Schizosaccharomyces pombe: one gene and its partners. The gene in region 1 interacts genetically with each later gene. Each region holds a gene or a part of one and is shown on either strand. Other genes may lie near its edges. The genes, in order: pku80, ccq1, ftm6 and ppk8.

Region 1 (4,679 bases):
ATATTCCTAGACGATTAGCGATATCTGTGAACCTGAAATATTGTAAGTTAGTATTTAATAGCAATAATAAATTTTGTTTAGACTTGACAAAACTTACGTTAAGTTAGGTTTTACTATGGCAATGAAAGAAGAAAGAAGAGAATTTTGTAAAAGAGGAACACGTTTCATTATAGTGTCTGTATCCTTTAAGAGCAACAAAGTCCAATAGGGGGCAACGAAAGGTTCAATAGAGGAAGGATGTTCTTCAGAGAAGATGGTTTGAGATGCTAAAATAGTTGATGGTCTAACCTGCAGTTCGTAATTTTCAAGTGTGTTGGTGGAAACCGACATAGGCCAGAGTAAGCTTAAGTTAATCGATTGATTTATCTCTAAATAAGCCGTATGCATGTTAATTAAAGCCTCATATGTAGTAGCAAGAACCGAAGCAAGATTTGAGTGATGAGGGATTTGAGCGGCATACACATCGAATGGGACGTTTTGGCTTGAATATTTTTCAGTCAGTTTTAAGATGTGTATACACTCATTTTCAACATAATTCCGTTTTGCTTGTTCATATTTAAGTCCAGTAACTAACTTGACTACTATATGATCATACATCGTGTTTACAGTAGGGCGATATACGGTAGCTGTAGGCACATTTAATACAAAGACGACATGAAATAAAGACATTGAAGATCTCGATTTTGATGAAGATGATTTTACTTCAAAACTTCCTGTCGAAGGGTGTGAAGATTCGGGCTTTGATACCAAATGGCTCGAAGAAGCATTAGACTCAACAGTAGTTCGTGGTTTCCTTCGTTTAGCCCACTCACCGTTCGGACCAATATGAACAGGACATCCCAAAAAAGTAAGACCATCCACCCAAATTTCAAATTTTTGATTGCAAAGTTCAATACGAGGACTTAGCATATTTGCGAGAAAGCCTTTTTCATAACCAAGTACATGTGTATCGTCAGCTACTTCAGTAAACCTATTATTCTCATCATCATCGCTGTCATCAAGGTCGAGCATCCCGATTGCAGACTCCGCTGAATCATTATTATGATGAGTGGCTTGTAGACGTACTTGAGGTTGTAGCGGCCAGTGAAAGACGAAATTAGCTCCTGATGTTGTTTTTTCAACAAGGAAAATGGCTACTAATCGAGGAGTTAAGCGTACCATTTTGGCGTTTTAAAACAAAGTATAAATGTGTATGTTCGATAATTGAAGTACATATGTGTGTTTTTTAATATATTTTTCACAACAGAAAACCAAATATCACCTTAAACATTATACCTCAAGGGGGTGGTATCGTTTTCTGGTAATTTGCGTGTAGTACGAAAGATTTGTGAGCGATATGCATCTGGCAGCTCGGTGTTTTAATCGCCTAGTACAAAACTAATAAGATCTAACATGAATAGTTAAACTGAATGTTAACTAATTATTGACATCTTGAGATATGAGTTCACGGCTTTGTAAATTAATGTGTGAATTGAAAGTAAAAGCATCGCTATGCAAAATTTCTAATGTGCGTAAAACCTTAGCAACTTTAATAGCTCCAATTCAATTCTCAAGAGTTTCTGATTTAAGTTATAAAAATGAATTGACTAATTTATATACAATGTTTTGGGTTATTTACATTTCAGTCACATGTGCATTTGCACATATGCTGCTGGACTTACTGTTAATGTAGTATATTCATACCGCGAAGAAAATACCTGAATCATTTAAAATGACCGTGTAATTGATATCTAACTGTTGAAAGCATCGGAGGCCCCAATGTTCTACAACAAATCTCACCTTGCTTTGACCTCCACCAAATCTGTATTCCTTAACAATTCGTATGAGTGATAAGGAATGTACTGTTTTTGTACTTGACTTGGGCAAAGATATGGGGACCTGTCACCATGGCAGGTCTCATTCTGATCTCGAATGGACTTTGTCGTATTTTCACGACGAATTGTCTCATAAGGTATTTTGCTCAACATTATCGACACCCTATTGACACATACTCAGTTTTTAGCAAATAGGAAGACAGACGTAGTTGGAATCGTTGGTTACAAATGCGATGGTATTCTATTGTAATGTTTTAAAGGTACACTACTTCTAACTTTTACGGTGTTTAGATACGAAAAATGATTTAGCTGAGCAGGAAGCCTATTGGAATATCAGTGTTTTGTATCCTATACAAACGTAAGCTTTCTCTTAAATGCTCCATTAACTTCTTAACTAGTGCCTTATTTTCAAAGCTACAATCCGTTTCTCAAACGTTAAAACCAAGCAATACTATGCAAGGCGATCTGATATCTGCAATAGTTGTGTCCTTTGATTTGATGGCTCGGCATTGTAAAAAGAACAAATGGAAGAAGAAGATGATAGTGCTTACGGCAGCTAGGGGGATTATCGACTTTAGTGATTACATTGGAATTGCCGAACAACTACTGCAGCATGATGTTTTTCTAGGTGTTTATGGAGTTGATTTTGATCAAGAAGATATTAATTATTCTGAGCCTTTAAAGGAATCTCAGAAAAAGGAAAACGAAGTTCGAATTCAAGAGTTTGTTGAGAGTTGTCATGGTCAGTACTGCACATTTCAACAGATTTATAACAACATCGGTAAACCTTGGGTTCGTAAAGTGAGACCTGTCGCAATCTTTAGAGGTACATTTAGTATTGGTAATAGAGACAGCAAAGATACGTCTATAAGCATACAGGTTGAAAGATATCCTAGAACTCGTTTAACTAAACCGCCAACATCATCTGCTTTTTATGAAAACGATATGTCTAAAAATTATGAATGTCTTAATATCGAAAATTCAAATGTGGAAAACAAAAGTATGGAATCTGATGCAGTGTCTACTGTTCGATCGTACATGGTTCGTGATCCAAAAACAAACGATTCTTTTGAGGTTAAAAGAGAAGACTTGGAAAGCGGTTATAGTTATGGTAGGACAATCGTCCCGATCAGCCGATCAGATGAAGACGTATTGGCTTTAGATACAATACCCGGTTATGAAATCCTTGGATTTATTCCTAAATCTAGTCTTCCAATTTATTATACCATTAGTGATACTAATATAATCGTTCCAAAAGATGACTTCGAAAGCAAATTAAATTTTTCTGCCTTTGTTCAATCCCTTGAACGTGAACACCGATATGCGCTCGCAAGGTTTGTTTCTAAAGATAAGGGCGTACCAGTTTTGCTGGTCTTGATGCCTTACGTGGAGTTTAAAAGACATTACTTGGTTGATATACAACTTCCATTCGCTGAAGATGTTCGGCCTTATTCTTTCTCAGAGTTCGAGAAACTGTCAAATGAAGAGGATATGCGACAAATTGATTTTGCCGTAAGTAATTATATCGATAATATGGATTTAGATTCCTCTGATTGTGGGTTCAATCCTCCTTTTGAGCCCGAAAATACCTTTAGTATGATACCACATAGACTTCAACAAGCTATCAGTTATTATGCAAATTCACCAGAAGGCGATCTTCCTCAACCAAATATTTACTTAACACGTTACACCAATCCTCCAAAAAGTTTACTTGATAATTGCATTTTGGACTTGAAGTTGATTAAGGAAAAACTTACAGTGAACGTCCCCGTCAAACCAAAATATTCTTCTCAAGAAACAGCCTTCGACACAGGCGCCCCAATATCAGAGGAACAAATAGAAGAACTACTAAATTCTGGTCTCGATGAACAGGAAGGAGAAAAATTATTAGTCCTTCACGTTAGTGAAAAAGACCCAGTAGGCACTTTCACTGAAGTTTTGAAAAACCCTTTTGGACTAGAGGATGCTTTGACAGAAATGGAAAAAGTAATTAAAAATCTTATTGACAAGTCTAAGTACGATCTTGCTTTGCAGTCATTGCAATCTCTCAGGTTACACTCAATTTTGGAAGACGAAGTTGAAAGATTTAATGAGTATCTTACTCGATTGAAAAAGGACGTAATGCAAAATAACAAACCCAAGGAGAATGAGCTTATTAACAAAATAAGATCATCTGGATTAGATATTATTCTCCATGATGAATTGACTAGACATGATAATTTTAATAACATTTAGCATAGGACAACAATGACTTGTCTTACTCGAACATAAATAAATAAATTTTATTAAATACTTGCAATATTTTTTTTACTTTTATCCAAATTTCTAATAAAAATTTTTAAGTCATGAATCCGCTATTTATTAGCATATAGAATACACGGTCGCAAAAATAGAAAATAGTTTTAACTTAAGTAGTTTAGGTAAACATACCTATGATATTTCAGAAAACACAACTATCGTTTAAAAACTTGGTGAGAGTTCCTTGCATTTTTTTATTTATATTCTATCTTTCACAATTACATTATTCAAAGAACATTTTAGACTTACTTTCACGAATTGGACAAATATCGGGGACATGCTTAAGGAGCTACAGCAGTGTTCCTTATTAGTGATACTAAAATTTAATAGTTTGGTCGTATCTATTTACCTACCACTGACTTTTTGATCTGTTACGCTTCGGCGATTGGAAAGCGTTCCTGAACTTTCTGTCATTTTAAATAAAATTTAAATTTTTTAAATATTTAAATTAATTCGATCAAAATGACTGAAGTCGAAACCACACACATGAATGCAGGTACAGAGAGCCAACAAGAGCCTGCTGAGCTAGCTGAAAAGCAAAAGGCTATAGGAAACGCTTTCTATAAA
Region 2 (5,055 bases), on another chromosome or scaffold:
TTATCAACACCTTCCTTGGCAATAACGACTGGGTCAGTCTCGGTGTAACTACCAAAGTAAGGAACACGTGCTTTGATAGCATTCTGCTTTAATTGATCAAAAGCACCAGCACGGAAAGTATCGGCAGCAACCAAACACGATTTCAAACCTCTCCTTTGGTAGTGCAGAGCAAGCTTTGAGCATGTTGTCGTTTTACCACTGCCTTGTAAACCTACCATCATGATCACTGAAGGTCTCCCTTTTTTAGGAGTAAAAGCATCAACTTTAGGGTCAACCAAACTGCAAAGTTCATCAAAGACAGCCTTCTGGACGATTCGCTTCCCATTTATACCCTGAGGCAAAGTTGATACATTGATTTTTTTCTTAATATTTGAACGTAATTCTTGAACCAATCGCACATTAACATCTGTTTCCAAAAGTGCCGTACATATATTTTTCAGCAGAGTATCGACAAGCTAAATAAAATTATTAGTAAAGGTTCGTATTAAAACGATAGATATCCTAATCAAAACAGAACATTGGGAAAACAAACTAGAGGTCATTAAAAAAATCTTCAGCTGCCTAAAAGTTGCTTGGTAAGTAAACCCTTTTAGTAACTTGAAACCAAAATCTAACATTGCATTATTAAAAAGGGTTTTAAATTTTCATGTCAAGGTAACGTCGATGTAAACGAAGATAATCCCAATATGCAATCAAGATATATATATATAAGAGATTGGATAAACCAGCTACGCAACTAGAAAAGCATATCTGTGGTAGATGATTTTTCTTATCGACAAATTTCGTAAAGCATGAAACGATGTTCATATACAGCGTGTAAAACATGGCAAATGCAAAATTTTTGAAGAAATCAAGCAAAGATGTATTAAATATTTTTATAAATGACATGGCTCACTCTCCGTATGAGAACAAATTTTCGATAGAATAAAACATACCTCTTCATTCACTGAAGTGGCCTTAGAAAAGTCCCCTAACGCAGAGTTCAAACGACGCCCTAAATCTGCAAAAACCATTTTGTCAGATTAAAAACTTCCAACCAGGCAATTTGAAGTTCGTCAAATGTGGTTGGTAGAGGATGAAGTCGTTAAGGACATGCAGTGTCTTCAAGCGAAAAGTCAATAGACAATTGAGGCAATATGATAAATGCCTAAAGATGAAGTAAAGAAGAGTTTGATATTATCTTTTTAAAAAATATTTTCACTGAGTTTAATACCGAGTTATTTCGCCTGCAAGCTTTTTATTGTTTTCAGTATAGGTGATATATCGACAGGATAGCGCAGCACAGCATTCCTATATAATACCTTGTTTGTATAATATTTTAGAATTAATCTATAGCAAAAGTTCAGTAGGTATAATCTTAAAAAATAAAATACTTATTAAGATTATACTCATGTGTAAAAGTGTTTGACTAGGTCCTGACAATTATTGATGCTTCTCTTTCTCACATTTGTAATAGAAACACGAATCGTAAATTCCGTGGTGGCTAACTTTGTCCCACAATCTTTTGATTCATACTTGCTGTAGTTTGTGTTTTAAGACGCTAATAGAAAAAGATCTAAAAGATTGATATTTGAAACTTTTTATATATTTTTCAGGCGTATGTTCTTATTCACCTTAAACTTTTTTGGAATTTTTCGTGCGTTAATCCAGCAATTAGTCTTAAGATCCAGTTTTTCCAAACTTCACGAAGGAAAGCACTTCCAAGTCCTTATAAGAGCCAGAATGAATTGCAATTAGCTGTTTTTTCAATATAAGACTAAAGATAAAGAATCGTTAACCCCTTAACACAAAATTTGAAAAAGAAATAACATTTACTACGCGTTATGGGTGAATAGTTATATTTGTTTACATAATAGACTTAAATAGAGAGGTGACGCGTTACTTTATTAAAATAAAGATTTGTTATATGAAAAAAAGTAATTAGAGCTCTTTTAAATGCTGTAAACATTTTCCGCTACACAGTGTATTTCGTAAAAATATGTACAAATTTAAAGGCGAACACGGAATTCTGGGAACAACATTTGGGTGGTTATTTGTAAAAACGATAATAAAAGACTCTTTTTAGACCATCTAATTCCTCTAAACGTGCGAAAATTATTTCTTTTCGGACGCTAAATTGGTCTCGTGTTGCAATATTTAAACATTCAATTTCTTGTTGAATTTTAACGTGGATGGCAGTATGAGCGAAATTAACGACTTTACGAATTCAATTATTATCAATGAAAGTGATACGAAATACGAGGTTTACTCTGAGGTGAATTCCAGTAATAGATGGATTGCCAAAGAGGATTGCCCTAGCCCGTTGGAAGATGTATGGCTTCTAAAATTAGCAGGCCATAAGAGAAAATTGGAAGAGCCTCTAAGTTGCATGCGTAATGAAGAACCTGCATCCAAACAAAGAGAGATAGAAAAATTTTTACGGACTGATTTGGATCACTCTGAAAATGACTTTTTAACTCAAGAGGTCGATGAATTCCCTTCTACCCAGCAGTTATTTCCTATTCCTTTGCAAAATGACACTGCCTTTGATTCTTCGGAAGAATCTATTACTAAATCTTCTAAATCCTCGTTCAGCGTGCTAGATATTGGCCTTCCAATGTCTGCGCTTCAAAGGAAAATGATGCATCGGTTGGTTCAATACTTTGCCTTTTGTATTGACCATTTTTGTACTGGTCCTAGCGATTCAAGAATCCAAGAAAAAATACGTCTTTTTATTCAATCTGCTCATAACATTGCAAAGCATCCTAGTCTGTATGATACTGAAGTTCGAAATCCCTCCGCTGCTGAATCCACTAATTCCCACGTTTCTTTAGATGCTTCTAATTTCTCTTCATATGCCGAAAATTCTTCAAAATTTCTTTTTTTGCAAGAATTATTCAAAAATCTTTCCCCCTCTTATTCTAAGACATTTTTTTTATTTATCTCCAACCAATTTCTTGCAAACACACTTACTCAATGGCTAAAATCTCAAAACATTGATGCTGAGTTATGGGCTGAAGAGGATGCAAAGACTAGCCAACATCCAGCAATTTGGATTTGTGTGTCCAAAAAGGCTCCCTCCGCTTCTCATTTTCTTCAATCTTGCCCAGATTTGAGTGCAACCATTTTTTATGATATCGAAGCATACATGAGTGTCACTAGTTCCTTGCCCTCTATTCAAAGCCTTGTCCTTAGGCTCATTCACTTGGGATCTATAGAACATGCCATAAAATGTTTTCAATCATCTTACAATGCCTCATTTTTAGTGAACATTGTGGGTGTGGTTGCCACTCTTAGTTCTTCTTCCGAGGAAAATTCAGAAGCTTCAAATTTGAGCACTTTGTTTGAGAAATCTGGGAACTTTGAGGAAATCCTAGGCTCAGAATCTCACTCTTCTATTACAGAAAAAACTCGAGATATTGCTAAAAATGTTGCGACCTGGTTAAAAAATGGAGAAAACTTCTCTTCTTGGCCACTACCTCCTCTAATGGATTTAGCAAGCTTATCGGTTGCAGAACCAAGGGATTCTCAGCCTTCTGTTTCTCAGGTGAACGATACTTTTGTCAAATCATCTGATAGTACATTTCCTTCGTCGCAAAGCATGCAATCACCTTCCAAACTCCACTCTTTAACAAGTAATGCCACCGATTTACTGTCATCAAGCTCACTAAAGAAAAACTTTTTTTCTCAACAGGAAGCTGATGAGGTAGAACTTTCCAATAATTATGATCTCCAAGGTGCAGCTGTCCAATACCTGCAGCGTCGTTTAAGAATGGTAGAAGATGAATTACACGAAGCCATTAATTCCAAAAACGTACAACAAAGTCGCTCAGAGGAGTTGGAGCAGCAAATTTCTAAGCTGACGGATAATTTACAAGAATACAGAAACACTGTTCGAGAGCTCAAGCTGGATTTGGAGAAATCGAAGAAAAAGAATGAAGACCTTTCAAAGCTAGAAGTTGAGAAGGTTGAAGAAATCGCAAACCTTAAAAAAGAGCTTACCCACTTAGCTAAGCAACAAGAATTTGGCTTTAAATATGTACAAGAATTTTCGAATGAAGATCTACAAGGCAAATTAATTGAAGCCAACGAAAAAAATTACAAACTTACTCAACTGTTAAAAACACAGAAAGAAGACGCTGATTTCATTACTAATCAATATCAAAATGCATCTACTTTTGCTGCTGAGCAAAGCAAAGAGGTTGCGAAACTTCAAGCTGAATGTAAGCGCTTACAAGCTATAAATTCTAAAGTTATGGAAGAGGTAAAAGTTTATAATGATTCAAGGGTAGAAGCATTACTCGCTAAGGTCTCTTCTCTGGAGGAGACCTTAAAAATTTTAGAGCAGAAGTCTCTTCCCAAATTTACTCCACATAATCAATCACCAAGGATTATTGATTCTAACTAAATCATTAACGATCAAGAACTTCAGTGGAATCAACTATAAAAAGTTCGTTTAGTCATACGGTTATTTGATTAAATTATGTCGTAATCAGCTTTTAATGAAACAATTTTAATTGTATTAATTTTTCAACAGTTGCAAAAATATATTGGTTTTCTTCATATATTCATCAAGAAGTTAGACATTTCGTTACATACTAGATTCAATGATCTATGTCATTAATTTTGAATTTGTTTTTGAAAGATTTTAATTGTATCAAATTCGAATATGCATCCTCAAAAGATGCAATATCAACATTGATGAAATAATTTTTTATGCTTCATATCATTTTGTTATGCTCGCAATATCGAACCTGTATAAAACTTCATGCACCTTATGCTCAACAGGTAAGGACCAAACAACCAGCAAGGATTGTAAAGCCTTTAAATACTAATTTTTCATCTGAATAGCACGGTCGAGTATATTCGGCTTCTTACTATCTTTCTTAGCACGATCCAAAGCCAATGTACCGTTTAGTTTTTCAACAACATCATATGTAATGTCTTCATCATTCAAATAGACAACTCTATTGTTATCAAAATCCACCACACAGAATTTAATAACGCTGAAAATGCTTTCTGGATACTGTGTGCGAGCTGCAAGACGTAGTTTTGTATCGATGAATTTTTCCTGGG
Region 3 (2,866 bases), 4.3 Mb from region 1:
GTGATAGTAAGCGCAAAGTGTATGACTCAATGAAAATCGGGTGTATCAACTACTCAGTTGTTTACCATACAATGTATTGTAAATTATGGGTAGTGTCGTCGCTATTACATTTAAAAAATATATTATATTGAAGGTATCTAATAAGAAGTAAATGTTTTTCTGTGTAATAATAGTGAATTCTTCTCATCAAAAATATAAACGAACTGATTTTTCGTCACCTTATTAGGTTATACAAAGTCATAACAATGCAAAACCAAAGCGGATAGCATATCAAACTAAGAATATGACTTGCTATTAAAAATTAGTTTCGCTTGAGTTTTATTTTAAGAGTAGTAATAGTCAGAATTTATTGTGCTGATACACTTCAACTTACTTGATTAATAATTGAAAAAGAGAAATTTACAATTGAAATTGAAATGGATGGATTTGAAACAAACCATTCGTCAACATCACCGCTACTTTAAAAATGCTACTGTACTTGCGAGTATAACTACACAAAAGTACATATTTAAGCGGTTGCATCAAGTAATGTCATATATAGAAATACAATAATATAAACGGAGCACAAACTGAACCTCGTTCTTGATATATCAAGTCTTCTTTATTGTACCATAATGTTGTATGTCGTTGTGCTATATTTTTTTGTAAGTTACAATCATACTGATTGGCATAGCTTCTGCTTTTAACTTAACGGTGATCAAGCCATATTTGATCAGGTTAGGCAGAATTCCAATGATTGCATTAGAAGGTTTAGATCTTCAAGTCAATTTTACGATTACAAGCAAAGGAGAAATAGCAATCAAGCCAGTATCGAATACTCATTACACGTATATAGCAAGATACTATGGAATTGTTATTGTGATATGAATCTTGATGGTGGATTATTATAGCCCTGGTGCAGATCACTAATATCGGTTTTCGAGTAAGAATGATTCTTGCTTTCTGACCTAGTGACTTTCTCAATAGAGAAAAGTATAATGACTTGAAATTTAGAAAACGTTCTAATGGAGTTAATGGAGTGAGTTCTAATGAAACGAGGAAAAAATTTGTTATGATATACTACGACGCATCCAAATGTAAAGGATCGGAATTTAGATGAAGCCGATGGTACTTCCGAGTAAATGTACCAACAATATAATAAATAAATCAGCAATTTTACTGCTAGACAATATTTCACTGTGAGGCTTAGTCTTGGTATAAATAGAGGGACTCTGTCAAAACAAATATTTTGAACTAGACTCGAATTCTTCATAATTCTATTCACTTGAGTGTTTATTTTTTTTAACAATGCCATTACATTTACGAGATATGTGGATATCCACTGACGATTATAAGGATGTTTTACTTACGTGTCCTGTGTGGTATGAAATTAGTGAAAGAGAATTAAATCATGCTGTTTGGGGACAATATTAAAATGGTGAAGTTATAATGAAACAGTTGTTGGAAGCGATTAGTTTCAAAAATTAGCGACTCGTATTTTGTTTATTATTATTATTATTTTTTCTTTTTTTTTTATTCGCTGTTTTAAAATTGTTTCCAGCAATCTTCTTCCTGTTCTCTTTTTATCCGTTTGACAACACATTTTGCTAATGCTTTTTTTTTTTTTTTAGTTCAAAGAAGACTGGTACGAGAAATAAACAAGTTGAGTAGTTTCGAAAGCAATTGGCTCTTTCTTTTTTTTTTTAAACTTGTCTTATTAATGTTAACATAACATTTTGTTTTTAGTCCGAGTATGTCGTCAGTTGAAAACCGTAACGGTTCTCATTGTGCCTGTTCTTCCGGTTTATACGAATAAGGTAAGAACATTCAAGAAAGCGTTTGATATGAAGTCTGTTCCATTATTGCTCTTAGTGCCTGACAAACGTTGTTAGTCTGTTTTGAGTTTACAAGTTTGTTAAGCTAATAGCCATTCATTGATCTTCATTGTTACATGCTTTCCATGGAATAGTTGGAGGTGTTTACTTTTCAACTTGTTAGCGATCGCTTGCTAACATTTTTAATAATAGGTACTTTGTTGTTCTCAGTGTGACTGGCACGAACCAGCAAATGTTTACTCGATTGAACAAAGGCGTAGTCATGATGATGATCTTCCTACCATTAAGGGTTCTGATGCTAGTACTCAACAGTATGAAAGAAAAACTTATATTACCGATGCTAGTCCCGAATCTCAGAATCTGTTTTTAAGCAAAAGTAAAGAGGAGGGAGTTATCTTCTTATGCATACAAGTAAGCTTTTAACCTTGATTCTATTTATTCACTTTTACCATTTACTACTTTCGCAAATTCCTGTTTTTTGTTGGGGATATGAAGGGGAATATAAGGGTAAAGTAGATGAAATGGATGTATTTGAAAGTTGATTTGGATTCGATTTATTACTTTGAATCCCCGTTTATTATTATACGTTTATGTCGTTTTAAAGAAAACCATGCGATGTACTATATTAATTTTGTAAAATATATATTATAGATAAAAAAATTGTTGGGAAAATGGGAAAGCAAGTTGAAAATAATTAAATTCAATAAATTAGCAAAATATGTTTATGAAGGTAACCAGTTTTTTCTTTTTATTTTTTTTTTGTCTATATGTCAGATTCGCAACTTTTAAGTTTGAACAAAACATTATTTCACATCGACTCAAAGGTTATGTGTATTTAAAACGTTCCAGTAAAAAAATATTCATTTGTAAAAAATAAATAGGTGGTATATTAAATAAGAATGAACTTACTACACAATTTCTGTGTAAAAAAGTGAGATTAAAATAACTGGATATTAATCCATTGATAAACAAATAATAAATAAAATAATCCCGGTAACCCCTTTAAAGGTGAATCAAGTAAACCATGGTTTTTGTCAAATCATTTTCTCTTG
Region 4 (4,894 bases), on another chromosome or scaffold:
AAGCGTTAAATTCCATTTTTTAAAAAGCACTTTTTTAACAAAATTTACATACTTTTCCTTATTTGTGCACCAAACTGCCACGACGCCGGTTTTGCTTAACGATTCCTGAATTGGTAATGCTTTTAAATATCCAAGGTTCCTGTTCACCTTATAGACAGAGCTCCTAGCTACAGATTTATTCGGCCATGGAGGGTCTATAATTATGCATTTGGGTTTTTCTAGATGGCCATCAATTGCTTCTAAAAGGATTTGCGCAGTTTTCTCCACGTCACCCATAATAAAAGAGGAACGAGCAGGGATGTAGTAAATTGAATCCCTACAATTAGTTTCAGACGATTCAGTAATAACCTTTGATCCCTTCAGCTTTAATTTTATAGCGGACGCTCCATCATTTTGGACACATTGTTGATAAATCTCTTCCAATCCAAGTTCAACTGTATCTTTAGACTTTATAGTTATAAATGAATATGACGGTGGAATAGTATTCAACATTTTCAACCATTGCAAGCACTGATCCTCAAACTGTATAACCGGTGCTTTAACTAGTACTTTGAAAATGTCTGAGTACCATTGCACTAAAGGAGCATTTTCAGCTTGAAAATGGATTTCTGATGCACTAGTATTTGACCTGTATACGATATCTTGAAATTGAACATGGTGTGATTTATCGGTTGATTGATTGTCATCCAAACTGCGCAACTGTAAAGCACGACGAACTCGCTGAAGGCTTTGCAGTACTTGCCCTACAGTGCCTTTGCCACTGTTTTCATAATCCGAAGTTGATTTTTCGGGGAGTAAATATGGCTTCACGACAGGCTTCGTTCGAGTGGGCAAAATATGTTTATTAAATTGCAGAGATGTTGGCAAGTCAATGAGACAACTAGTGTCGTCCATGTATAATATACATGGCATTAAAAATTACACGAATACCGAACCTCAAACAATCGTGATAAATGAAATGCACAAGGACACCGCTGAATTTCGTTATAGCAATCTATTAAATTAGTAGCTCAAAAAATAGCTTATGTGCGCTCAACTCAAAATAAGAAGTAGCGAGTTGAGTTAATTAAATTCAGTCGGATAAGAATAATTGAAAATACCGCTCTCGACGCGTGACAAACGTGTATACTTTATCGAAAGTTACTCGATAGGTTTCGTCGTACCCATCAACTGGAGTGCAGTTAAACTTATTATGCTTAATACCAAATATTGAAACAACAAATCTCTATTGATATTTTAAAAACTTCCATTTAATGATATTTTTTAAAACTAATTTACGAAAACCGAATCTAGTTAACGTAGTTCTTTCAAACTAATACGGAAACATTGGTGTGCGATTTTCGATACTCCCCACAATAACATTGAACGATATAAAAAATCCAAGCTATTAAGAAGTACAAATTTTTCTATTGAACGAATTAGGTAATCAAAGCATTCATAGCTTGCAAAAACCAATGTTTTGTGGTTAGTCAGCCTTCAAAATGGTAACAAATTTATATGCTGCCAGTACGAAATATTAATTACATAAGGAAAACGATATGCTTAGTCTTACAAATACACACCTACCTTATCTCGCCTTAACGTCTCCACTATCAAGTAAGCAATTGCTGGTGATGACTAAATATATTTAATAACAAGCATCATAAAGATCGTTAGGATAGGAATCTGCAAAAATCGGAGCGTAAATAAATAAGCAGTTAATGGCGTAATGTTTTCACAAAATGATAACCACACTATTATAAAGCCATTACTTTTTTGACGAGATAGCATCATACAATTTATTGATAGGATTCAAGCAAAGGACCTGCAATCAGTATATAAATACGCTTCGTTTTTATGTTCAATTCGATCTTAAATTTTAGTTTGCCGATTCTATAGAACATTTTGGCATTGGAGTTTATGAATTTTTAAAAAAAACAACGCAGTCCGGCATTCTACGGTATTTGCTTTCGACGTTAATATATATCGAAACGTGGAACCATATTTTATTCACATTAATTTCCTCATCGAACCAACTCCGGTTTATCTCCTCGGACATTTATTAGATGAACCTATTCGGCTCGTGAGATTTGCTATATAAACATTACTAAATTGGGAATTGTCGTTACCAATTTTTTTTGCGATCAGGATCGACATTGGGATGCATAATCGTTTCGCTTCGTTTTAGTTAAACATTTTTTTATTTTGCTTGTATTGCATAGACATTGCGCGATTACAATTTTTTTGGTTGTTTACTTATTTGCGGTGTTTATTTTATTTCTTGTCAGTCATTATCAGGGAAGCGGTATTTGTTTGATTTTCTTTCCCGTCATTATAATCGGTTTCACTTAATTTCTGGATTCGTTTTATTTATTCTCCTTAATTATCACTTAATTCATTAATATATCTTTTTTACTTTTTTTTTGGAAAGAAGCTTTTACAATCACAATTCTTAGAGCAATGGCTGTGATCACGGAAGAGAACTCTAATAATTTATTTTGCACAGATTCATTGGAATTAACCTCGGTATGTTTTCTGCCTTTAATTTTTTTAGTTATCTTTTTTTCTTTAAAAAAAAGAATAGAAAAAAATCCTTATTTTTCTAAATATTCAAATATGGTGTACGCTAACTAATGATATTAGAATAAACAGGATGATCAAGTTATTTCGAATTACTTAAAGCCCGTCCGTTCATACCCCTACATTAAATATTCTCGAAGTAGCTTATTATTAACGGCATCTACAACTTTACCCGAAAACTTTGTGATTTCATTTACCAACTCCATTGAGAGTGAAGAGAGCGATAAATCTGATTACCTTCTCGATCATGCTCATAGCTTACAGGAATTATCGACTACTCACTCATCACTATCAAGCACTTTAACATCTATGTCGGAAGAGTCATCTTCCACAGAATCGAAATTTGCTACCCTTAATGATGGCATAAATGGTGGTAATCCATATAGCAGACTTTATCGAAAAAATCCATCTTCTGATCCAAACGATATCCCACCTCAGTTTCACTTTAAAAAGAAGTCTAAATCATTTTATAGTAGCATGTATGATAAGATGAAGATCAGAATTAATATCCTTCCGAACGGAAACGACAATTTTATAAAAAAACGGAACTCCGGCTTCGCTCTGGCGCCTATTGCTTGCTACAATCATACTTCTGATCTTCGAAAATTGCTGAAACACAAAGTAACTGGTAGCAATGCTAGCATCTTTAAGAGAATCAACCCGAGATCAAGAAAGAGAGTTGTAAACCCGGAATGTTCCGTAACTGATACACCTTATGGAAAGTTAAATAATGTCATTGGGGAGGGAGCGAGCTCTTTCATTCGGGTCATTAATGATCGAAACAAATTGCCAATTTACGTTGCCAAAGTATTTCGTCCTCCATTAGATACCTCATTACTGCGCAGGTATGTACGTTATTTCATTGCAGAGTACACTTTTGCGTCGACACTCAGGCATCCCAATATCATCAAGGTATTAGACATTATATACAAAAGGCATACTATTTTACAAATAATTGAGTATGTTCCTTATGATCTTTTTACCTTTATTACCAAAGGTCATTGCTCTGCTTTAAAAGCTGATCAAATGTTTTTTCAATTGTTAGATGGCGTGGCTTATATGCATTCCCTTGGCATTGCTCATCGTGATATAAAATTAGATAATATTATGCTCGATGAAAATTTAAATGTTAAGATTATTGATTTTGGTACTGCTTTTGTTTTTCATTATCCATTTGAATCAACCACTCTGATGTCTGATGGTGTAGTCGGTTCAAAACCATATGTTGCTCCCGAAGTTCTTACTCAGAAACCATATGATCCGAGCGCTGTAGATGTTTGGTCTTGTGCAATTGTTTACTGTTGTATTGCTTTAAAGAGATTTCCATGGAAAGTGCCGCATACATCGGATAAACGTTTTAATTTATACGTTACTCAACGAAATGACCCTAACACGAAAAGCCAATTGATAGAATCTTTACCGATGAACTCAAGAGATACGATTTATCATATGCTGGACATTGATTTTAATACAAGATGTAGCATTTCGGGAGCACGAAGCACTACATGGATGCAACAAGTTCGGAAAACTCTAATCTAAGGAGAATTTGTCTACTTTAGAGATTTTTATCTATTTATTTTTTTTATGATGTTAAGGATTATGAAGTCCCTTTAATGATCGCTATTAACTTATAAAGGGCAAGGACGTTGAAGTGTTCACTTGTAGACGCTTTACTTCATCGTGAACTTGAGCAAATCTATTACTAAGAGCCATGAATAATTTGTGCTCCTCTTTGATAGTTTTCAGTAATGCTAGATAGTTAATACAAGTTTTACAAATTAAAGGCATACCCTCGGGACTATTATTCTGTGGCGTAGTCTCAACTTGCTCCAAATGTTGTTCAAGTTCACCAATAGTGGCAGCATACAGATCTGTACGTTTCTTAGCGTTTTCTGTAAATTGCTCAAAGTAGTTCATTAGGGGATCGTTTGACGCGAAGGGATAGGTTGCGCCAGGTGTTTTAAAAACGTCCAAAATACGTGAACTAATGCGAGCATTCGAAGTATCTTCGTCAACTACACGCTTCGTAGTTTCAATTTCGTCGGAATCAATTAAAAGTGCAGTCGAGACAGAAGATAAACGCTTTATTTTAGTTAGAAACAAATAAAACTTGGAGATAATAGAAGGAAATAACTCACTCTCTGTACTTCAGCGACATCATTAGGGACGGATTCAACCAATTCGGAAACAGTCCCCAACTTAGTTTGTAGTTCCTCTGCAAGTTGGATTTGGCTAAAAATTTCTTTGCTACGGACATGATTAGAACAAATTTTGTACATAAGGTAACACATACTCTAAGTCATCTAAAAATTTTTGAGTATTAGCGTTTAAGCTC

The links.
Region 2: mutations in pku80 (region 1) and ccq1 together harm fitness more than expected from each alone (negative genetic interaction), as found in Schizosaccharomyces pombe (one large-scale study listed by BioGRID).
Region 3: mutations in pku80 (region 1) and ftm6 together harm fitness more than expected from each alone (negative genetic interaction), as found in Schizosaccharomyces pombe (one large-scale study listed by BioGRID).
Region 4: mutations in pku80 (region 1) and ppk8 together harm fitness less than expected from each alone (positive genetic interaction), as found in Schizosaccharomyces pombe (one large-scale study listed by BioGRID).

Annotation. Positions count from the first base shown.
Region 1 is NC_003423.3:4,302,511-4,307,189, reverse strand, and holds pku80 (Ku domain protein Pku80 ), read left to right. Parts: upstream 1-1,787; 5' UTR 1,788-1,822; coding exon 1,823-1,951; intron 1,952-1,995; coding exon 1,996-2,050; intron 2,051-2,105; coding exon 2,106-2,172; intron 2,173-2,212; coding exon 2,213-4,049; 3' UTR 4,050-4,167; downstream 4,168-4,679. Other genes in the region: Npr2/3 complex subunit Npr3, read right to left, coding at 1-32, 98-1,161; SPOM_SPBC543.02C (TPR domain protein, DNAJC7 family), read left to right, coding at 4,575-4,679. UniProt on the Schizosaccharomyces pombe protein: Single-stranded DNA-dependent ATP-dependent helicase. Involved in non-homologous end joining (NHEJ) DNA double strand break repair. DNA-binding is sequence-independent but has a high affinity to nicks in double-stranded DNA and to the ends of duplex DNA.
Region 2 is NC_003421.2:1,484,124-1,489,178, forward strand, and holds ccq1 (shelterin complex HEAT repeat subunit Ccq1), read left to right. Parts: upstream 1-2,016; 5' UTR 2,017-2,179; coding exon 2,180-4,387; 3' UTR 4,388-4,555; downstream 4,556-5,055. Other genes in the region: signal recognition particle subunit Srp54, read right to left, coding at 1-455, 936-1,013; ubiquitin hydrolase Ubp5, read right to left, coding at 4,811-5,055. UniProt on the Schizosaccharomyces pombe protein: Component of the meiotic bouquet that facilitates meiotic nuclear reorganization of the telomeres to the centrosome. Links telomeres to the meiotic centrosome component pcp1. Essential for the formation of normal telomere clusters during meiotic prophase.
Region 3 is NC_003423.3:8,997-11,862, reverse strand, and holds ftm6 (transmembrane helix domain-containing protein), read right to left. Parts: upstream 1,295-2,866; coding exon 854-1,294; 3' UTR 512-853; downstream 1-511. Other genes in the region: ftm5 (transmembrane helix domain-containing protein), read right to left, coding at 2,849-2,866.
Region 4 is NC_003424.3:747,491-752,384, forward strand, and holds ppk8 (serine/threonine protein kinase Ppk8), read left to right. Parts: upstream 1-1,991; 5' UTR 1,992-2,439; coding exon 2,440-2,505; intron 2,506-2,622; coding exon 2,623-4,098; 3' UTR 4,099-4,182; coding exon of another isoform or gene 4,183-4,310; 3' UTR 4,311-4,349; downstream 4,350-4,894. Other genes in the region: ime4 (mRNA (2'-O-methyladenosine-N(6)-)-methyltransferase), read right to left, coding at 1-912; nucleoporin Nup45, read right to left, coding at 4,183-4,310, 4,350-4,641, 4,698-4,806, 4,853-4,894.